2 linked regions of the Saccharomyces cerevisiae S288C genome follow. Each later gene encodes a partner of the first gene's protein in a complex. Each region holds a gene or a part of one and is shown on either strand. Other genes may lie near its edges. A codon is read from its position in the direction of its gene.

Evidence for each region. The genes of interacting proteins can lie anywhere in the genome.
Region 2: the proteins of MTR3 (region 1) and RRP43 are in contact, whole or in part, in a cryo-EM structure (PDB 5G06), measured with the Saccharomyces cerevisiae proteins. Residues at the interface, in NP_011674.3 of Saccharomyces cerevisiae: Arg6 (codon at 1,238), Arg7 (codon at 1,235), Arg8 (codon at 1,232), Leu9 (codon at 1,229), Leu10 (codon at 1,226), Gly11 (codon at 1,223), Pro12 (codon at 1,220), Ala14 (codon at 1,214), Ala15 (codon at 1,211), Lys16 (codon at 1,208), Pro17 (codon at 1,205), Met18 (codon at 1,202), Ala19 (codon at 1,199), Phe20 (codon at 1,196), Ser21 (codon at 1,193), Gly51 (codon at 1,103), Phe52 (codon at 1,100), Ile53 (codon at 1,097), Glu54 (codon at 1,094), Asn55 (codon at 1,091), Cys56 (codon at 1,088), Ile74 (codon at 1,034), Tyr78 (codon at 1,022), Arg81 (codon at 1,013), Gln96 (codon at 968), Lys98 (codon at 962), Leu101 (codon at 953), Leu102 (codon at 950), Glu103 (codon at 947), Lys104 (codon at 944); in NP_009964.2 of Saccharomyces cerevisiae: Thr58 (codon at 2,111), Leu59 (codon at 2,114), Arg61 (codon at 2,120), Asp64 (codon at 2,129), Asn67 (codon at 2,138), Asp69 (codon at 2,144), Thr70 (codon at 2,147), Lys71 (codon at 2,150), Asn72 (codon at 2,153), Asn73 (codon at 2,156), Ile74 (codon at 2,159), Leu75 (codon at 2,162), Lys81 (codon at 2,180), Lys84 (codon at 2,189), Ile86 (codon at 2,195), Ile88 (codon at 2,201), Ser90 (codon at 2,207), Thr92 (codon at 2,213), Gly93 (codon at 2,216), Gly94 (codon at 2,219), Ile95 (codon at 2,222), Ile96 (codon at 2,225), Tyr131 (codon at 2,330), Pro132 (codon at 2,333), Val133 (codon at 2,336), Glu135 (codon at 2,342), Glu137 (codon at 2,348), Arg138 (codon at 2,351), Gly139 (codon at 2,354), Arg140 (codon at 2,357).

Annotation. Positions count from the first base shown.
Region 1 is NC_001139.9:804,769-807,931, forward strand, and holds MTR3 (exosome non-catalytic core subunit MTR3), read right to left. Parts: upstream 1,254-3,163; coding exon 501-1,253; downstream 1-500. Other genes in the region: CHO2 (phosphatidylethanolamine N-methyltransferase), read left to right, coding at 1-281; NSR1 (Nsr1p), read right to left, coding at 1,644-2,888.
Region 2 is NC_001135.5:191,334-194,957, reverse strand, and holds RRP43 (exosome non-catalytic core subunit RRP43), read left to right. Parts: upstream 1-1,939; coding exon 1,940-3,124; downstream 3,125-3,624. Other genes in the region: PHO87 (SPX domain-containing inorganic phosphate transporter), read left to right, coding at 1-544; RBK1 (putative ribokinase), read right to left, coding at 660-1,661; fatty acid elongase ELO2, read right to left, coding at 3,323-3,624.

The sequences.
Region 1 (3,163 bases):
CTACACCATTTGAAATTTCATTGCCGGTACTAAATACCACGACACCTGAACTGTTTGAGAAGGATTTGACTGAGTTTTTGACGAAAGTCAACGTTTTGAAGGATGGTAAATTTCGTCCATTAGGAAATAAGTTCTTCGGGATGGACAGCTTGAAACAATTGATTAAGAACTCAATTGGCGTCGAACTTTCGTCTGAGTATATGAGGAGAGTCAATGGTGACGCTCACGTTATTTCGCATCGCGCTTGGGATATAAAACAAACGCTTGATAGTCTTGCTTGAGTTTTTTTTTTTTGAGTATATATATTTAAAAAGTACTAGGATTCAAGTTAACATTTTGAATAGAAGTAGTTATGTTGTTGTAATATAATGGAGCTACCATATATGCAGAATGACATTATAAATTATGATGTTGATGTACAATGCCTTTGTGCGCTTCTTTTACCATGAATTTTTTCTTAACCTCTTTCACTTTTCTTTCCGACTAGGATAATCTCGTGTCTAAGTTTCCTGGTTCATTAAACAGCTTATCATTAAATCTCTATAACGGTTATATTGCTCCTTGCAACGATCAAGGCATTCCAAAAGATCTTCATCGTCACCATCATCCTTCCAAAAACCTACAATTTCCTCTCCATTTTTGATGAATGATACGACAGTGCCATTGGCCTCACCGGCACCTGCCATATCCACTAATTCGATGCCGGCATCAGCTAAGGCTAGCGTTATACTAGTGATACAATGTGGTATGAGAGATGATATTTGAGAAGACATCATTTTGCTTTGCGAATCGTCGTCCTGAGGATTATTTGTAAGATCCTTATCATACGTTAAATAAACGAAGATATCGATGCCGGACTTGGGGTAGCGAGATAGGTTTACTACTGAATTGAAAATGCCCATTAAAAAGCTGCTAACTTCCTTCAGTTCATTTGTGTTATATTTTTCCAGAAGACCGTTCTTTAACTGAATAGATATAGTACCTTGAGATGTGAAGGATCCTCTAATGGAGCGTGGTCCATAGACAGCGGTAATGAGCGATGTTTGGTGTCCTAAGCTTCTAGCTTCTACTAATGCAGATCCATTGCAGTTTTCGATGAAACCGGTATGTAGAGAAAGTTCCTGTTCACTTTCATTGCCTTTAGGTGTCAAATCTGTTGATTTCTTTTCTGGCACATGAGTAGTAGTGTTGCTAAACGCCATTGGCTTGGCAGCAGCAGGGCCTAATAACCTCCTTCTGTCTTGAACATTCATTTATTCTGATAACACCTTAATGTGAGTATGTTCCTACTTTTAAGTGGAGTATGTGCTAATCCTTAAAGGAAGTTTTCGTGGCTCAATCAAGCACAACGCCCAAGCTTTTATTTAGATATTCATTTCATATTACTGAAATTTTTTGAGTATTTTCCAAGGCCTTGTAATCTTCCGTATCTAGCGATCTCATCTCATCGTGAAAAAAAAAAGAGTAAGCCATTCGAAGAAAAGTTGGCAAATAGAGATGGTGAATGAAAGGTTTAAGAATGTATCCTATTTACTTACTAATGTACACAAAATATTATAGACCAAATTTTTCCTCAAAAATGGAATATAGTAATTAACGTAAAAAGAGAAAAAATTGAAATTGAAATTCATTTCATTTTCTCATTAATCAAATGTTTTCTTTGAACCAGCGAAAGAAGCGGTATTTCTTGATCTGCCCAATGGAGCAGTATTAGCACCAGAACCAGATGGTCTGAAACCGCCACGGCCACCGCGAGCGCCACCACGACCACCGAATCCACGGTTACCGCCACGACCACCGCCACGACCACCAAAACCACGGCTACCGCCACGACCACCATCGTTGTTTGGTCTTGGAGAAGAGAAGTCTAATCTAACTGGTCTGTTGTCAATGTATTCACCTTGTAAAGCGTCTAGAGCCTTCTTGGCGTCCTCCATGTTGGAGAATTGAACATAACCGAAACCTTTTGGTTGTTCAGTTTCTGGATGTGTTGGGATACGGACGGAAACAACTTCACCGTGTTTAGCGAATAATTCGAAAATAGCGTCTCTGTCAGCATTGAAAGATAAGTTACCCAAGAACAAAGTGTCAGATGGTTCAGATGGGGTATCACCGAATTTCTTGGCACGATCGTTGTTACCAGCTGGCTTGCTTGTGGACATATCACAGTTGATTGGTCTACCATCAATTTCCTTACCTTGCATTTCTTGAATGGCCTTTTCAGCATAAGATTTGTTTTCAAAATCAACGTAACCATAACCACGAGATCTATCGGTACCTCTTTCATAAATAACTCTGGCACCAATGACACCACCGATGTGTTCGAATTCCTTCTTCAACCATTCGTCATCAATAGACCACGATAGTCTACCAACGAAAATAGTAGCTGGTTCTTCGGTTTCTTCATTTTTTTGCTTCTTGTTGGAAGACTCTTCGTCTTCTTCTTCTTCGGCGTCCTCAGATTTACGTTTCTTATCGTTAGACTCTTCCTTTTCGCTTTCGCTATCAGAAGATGAAGATGAGGATGAATCAGAGCTAGAAGATTCTTTTGATTCTTCCTTCTTGGTTTCTTCTTTTTCTTCTTCTTCTTCTTCGTCGGAAGAAGAGTCAGAGGAAGAGGAAGAGGAATCCTTGGATTCTTCCTTCTTGGTTTCAGCTTCACTTTCGCTGTCAGAAGACGATGAAGAAGAGGATTCAGAATCAGAGGATGAAGATGAAGATGAAGATTCAGATTCAGACTCAGACTCAGATTCAGATTCAGATGAAGATGAAGATGAGGATGAAGATTCGGAGGAAGAGGAAGAGACGGCCTTAGCTTTTTCTTCTTTGGCTTGTTTGGAAGCCTTAACTTCCTTCTTGTTACCTTTTACTTTAGTAGTCTTAGCCATCTTATTTTATCCTGCCTGGGTTGAGTGATCCGAAATTGGTTAACAGTTCGTCTTTGGGAAGCAAAAGTAAGAAAAATACTACGAAAGGAAATAACTTAAGGTACCAATGGATTGGGAAGTGCAGACAGCAACAGCTACACTTAAGTACTTTTAATATTGGATTGAAAATTTTCGTTCTTGCGATGAGCTGCCCTTGCAAATTTTTCACCAAAAAAAAAAAAAAAAAAAGAAATGGAGTGAAAAAAGAAACGAAAAAAAAGGGCATGGGGACCCAT
Region 2 (3,624 bases), on another chromosome or scaffold:
AGTAATACCGATAGTCCTGTTTTTTGGTACAGGTCTACTATCAACAAAGGATTTCAACACATTCCCTTGGTCAATTGTTGTTCTTGCTATGGGTGGTATAGCCCTTGGTAAGGCAGTTTCATCTTCAGGCTTGTTGGTAACTATTGCAAGAGCATTACAAAAGAAAATTCAGAACGATGGTGTTTTTGCTATCTTATGTATTTTCGGTATTTTAATGTTAGTTGTGGGCACTTTTGTCTCACATACTGTGTCAGCAATCATCATTATTCCCTTGGTGCAAGAAGTTGGTGACAAATTATCCGATCCAAAGGCAGCTCCAATTCTTGTGTTCGGTTGCGCCTTGTTAGCCTCATGCGGTATGGGGTTGGCTTCATCTGGATTTCCAAACGTTACTGCTATTTCTATGACCGATAAAAAGGGTAATAGATGGCTAACTGTAGGCGCTTTTATCTCCAGAGGTGTTCCTGCTTCGTTGTTAGCGTTTGTCTGCGTAATTACTCTCGGTTATGGTATTAGTTCTTCCGTCTTAAAAGGTAGCACTTAAACTGCCCTCATGTAATTACATTTCTTATTACTGCATTCTTTGTACCTTTTTAAACTTTATATATATGACGAAAACTAAAATTTAACAAACTAAAAGTAAAAAATTGCAGTAGATTTTATGCATCTTTCTGAACATCTTTATACAGTGGCATGCTTTCAGCAGCACCTTTTCTTTGAATGGTCAATGAACTAGCTAATGTAGAGAACTTTATAGCCGTAGACAAGGTCTCTCCTTGATACAATTGAGTAACCAAACCGCCCAGGAAAGTATCTCCAGCTCCTGTAGTATCAACAACCGAAACATTTTGAATAGCCGGAAGGAATTGTACTTCAGGGCTTTCGTGCGAACAGAAAAGCACCCCTCTCGAACCCAAAGTCATAACCACAATTCCTCTTTTCTTTCGATTCATGAGTTTTTCATACAAAAGCTCACAAATTTTACGATATTCTCCTAAAAAGTCGTCCTTTATCTTCTCCCTTATTTCTTCAACAAGTTCATTATCAAATACACTTTCCACGATTTGAAGACCCTCAATTTCATTAACGACCAAAAGGTCTACCAACTCCCAATCTTTCTTAGGCATGGCCTTGAAAGGTGAGGGGTTATATACGATCTGAAAATTCGGCCTGTTCGCATGTATCCATTTAATAATGGAAAGAGGATCAGGAATTTCGTGTTGAAAAACAACATACTCTTCTTCCTCCTTGCCCTCTGGAAAAATTTCACACAACTGTTTCGGGTCATAAATAGTCTTGCTGTTAGCACCTTCTACAATCAATATCCTATTTTGGCCACCAGCTTTCTCTTCAATTAGTATGGTAGCGGTACCCGTATTAATGCCTTCGTAAGTACCGACGTGAGTGATATCGACTCCGCAATCGGATAAAGTGTCCTTCAATTGTTTACCAAATGTATCATTTCCAACATTACCAATCATTCGAACACTATATCTGCTGCTGGGGTTTTTTAATTTACCAATGGCCGCAGCTTGGTTCAATCCCTTACCACCAGCATGTGTTTCGAAGTGGTTAGCCCTGAAAGTTTCTCCAGCGTTAGGTAATCTATCCGTAAATGTGTCCAAATCATAGTTTAGAGAACCTATTACTGTAATACCCATCTTTGAAATATGCTGTTGGAACTTTGGGATGAAAGACAACAAACATCTTATTGGCTATTTTTATCCTATTTGCTTCATGATTGTTCTGGCCACCTTCGGATATAAACCCTTTTATTCCCGTTTGATCTGGAGAGATTTTCAAATCACAGTCGACGAAAGTATAAGATTTTTCTTTCTTTTTTTATGACAGAGTATATAACAATAATGGACAAATTAGACGATGAGTATTGTTACACAAATAAGTTTGACAGTAGTTTCACAGGCATCTAATATTGGAAATGGCTGAAAGTACCACGTTAGAAACTATTGAGATACACCCAATTACTTTTCCACCTGAAGTTCTTGCGAGAATATCTCCAGAATTGTCTTTACAAAGACACTTATCCCTAGGAATCAGGCCATGTCTAAGAAAATATGAAGAATTTAGAGATGTTGCTATAGAAAATAATACTTTATCGCGTTATGCGGATGCTGGTAATATAGACACTAAAAACAACATTTTAGGCTCAAATGTTTTGAAAAGTGGGAAAACCATAGTCATAACTTCTATTACGGGTGGAATAATAGAAGAAACTAGCGCCGCGATTAAAGATTTGGATGATTTCGGTGAGGAAGAATTGTTCGAAGTGACCAAAGAGGAGGACATAATTGCAAATTATGCTTCTGTCTATCCGGTGGTGGAAGTTGAAAGAGGTAGAGTGGGCGCTTGCACCGATGAAGAAATGACTATATCACAAAAACTACACGATTCCATATTGCACTCTAGGATATTGCCTAAAAAAGCCTTGAAGGTAAAAGCTGGTGTTCGTAGTGCGAATGAAGACGGTACGTTTTCCGTCTTGTATCCCGATGAATTAGAAGATGATACGCTGAATGAAACAAACCTGAAAATGAAAAGAAAATGGTCATACGTTTTGTATGCGAAAATTGTAGTCTTGAGTCGCACTGGTCCAGTCTTCGATTTGTGTTGGAATTCTTTGATGTACGCTTTACAGAGCGTAAAGTTACCTAGAGCATTTATAGATGAGCGTGCGTCCGATTTAAGAATGACTATAAGAACAAGAGGAAGAAGTGCCACCATAAGAGAAACGTATGAAATTATTTGCGACCAAACTAAGTCAGTACCGTTAATGATAAACGCAAAGAATATTGCATTTGCTTCAAATTATGGGATAGTGGAGTTAGACCCCGAATGCCAATTACAAAACTCTGATAACTCTGAAGAAGAGGAAGTGGACATTGATATGGATAAATTGAACACTGTGCTAATAGCAGACCTAGATACTGAAGCGGAAGAAACAAGTATACACAGTACGATCTCCATCCTCGCTGCTCCTTCAGGTAACTATAAGCAATTAACATTAGTGGGAGGAGGCGCTAAAATAACGCCAGAAATGATAAAAAGATCATTGTTGTTATCTAGGGTTAGAGCGGACGATTTGTCAACAAGATTTAACATATAAAAGACTCGGATAAAATTATCTGATGACTGTCGAAAGGAAACGGAAAACTTTTTTCAACGATAACATGTGTATGTAATATATAACAAAACCATCCGGTCTTTTACAATATAATAATAGTGATAATAGTAACAATAGATCCACTAAGAAAAAACGAATATACGAAAGTTGAATACTTAAATTCTTTCAAAGATTTTACACTTACCTTTTTCTTCTGTGTTGAGGTTTTGGTGATGGAGATGGAGTAGGAACGTTTTTCAAGTCAACGTTAACATACTCATTAACCTTTGCGGCAACACCGCCGTGGGCACGCTTTACCACTCTACTGGTTTTGGTGCCTTTACGTTTATAAACGTTAATGTAAAATGAAATAAATAGTACCAAATATGAAGAAATAATGGCACAACCTGCAAAGGTGGCAGTTGTTGAACCCACACAGTCACCACAATGTGGCAAAATTGGGAAATACAAGTGAACTGCTTTTTGGTAGACAGCAAAATATA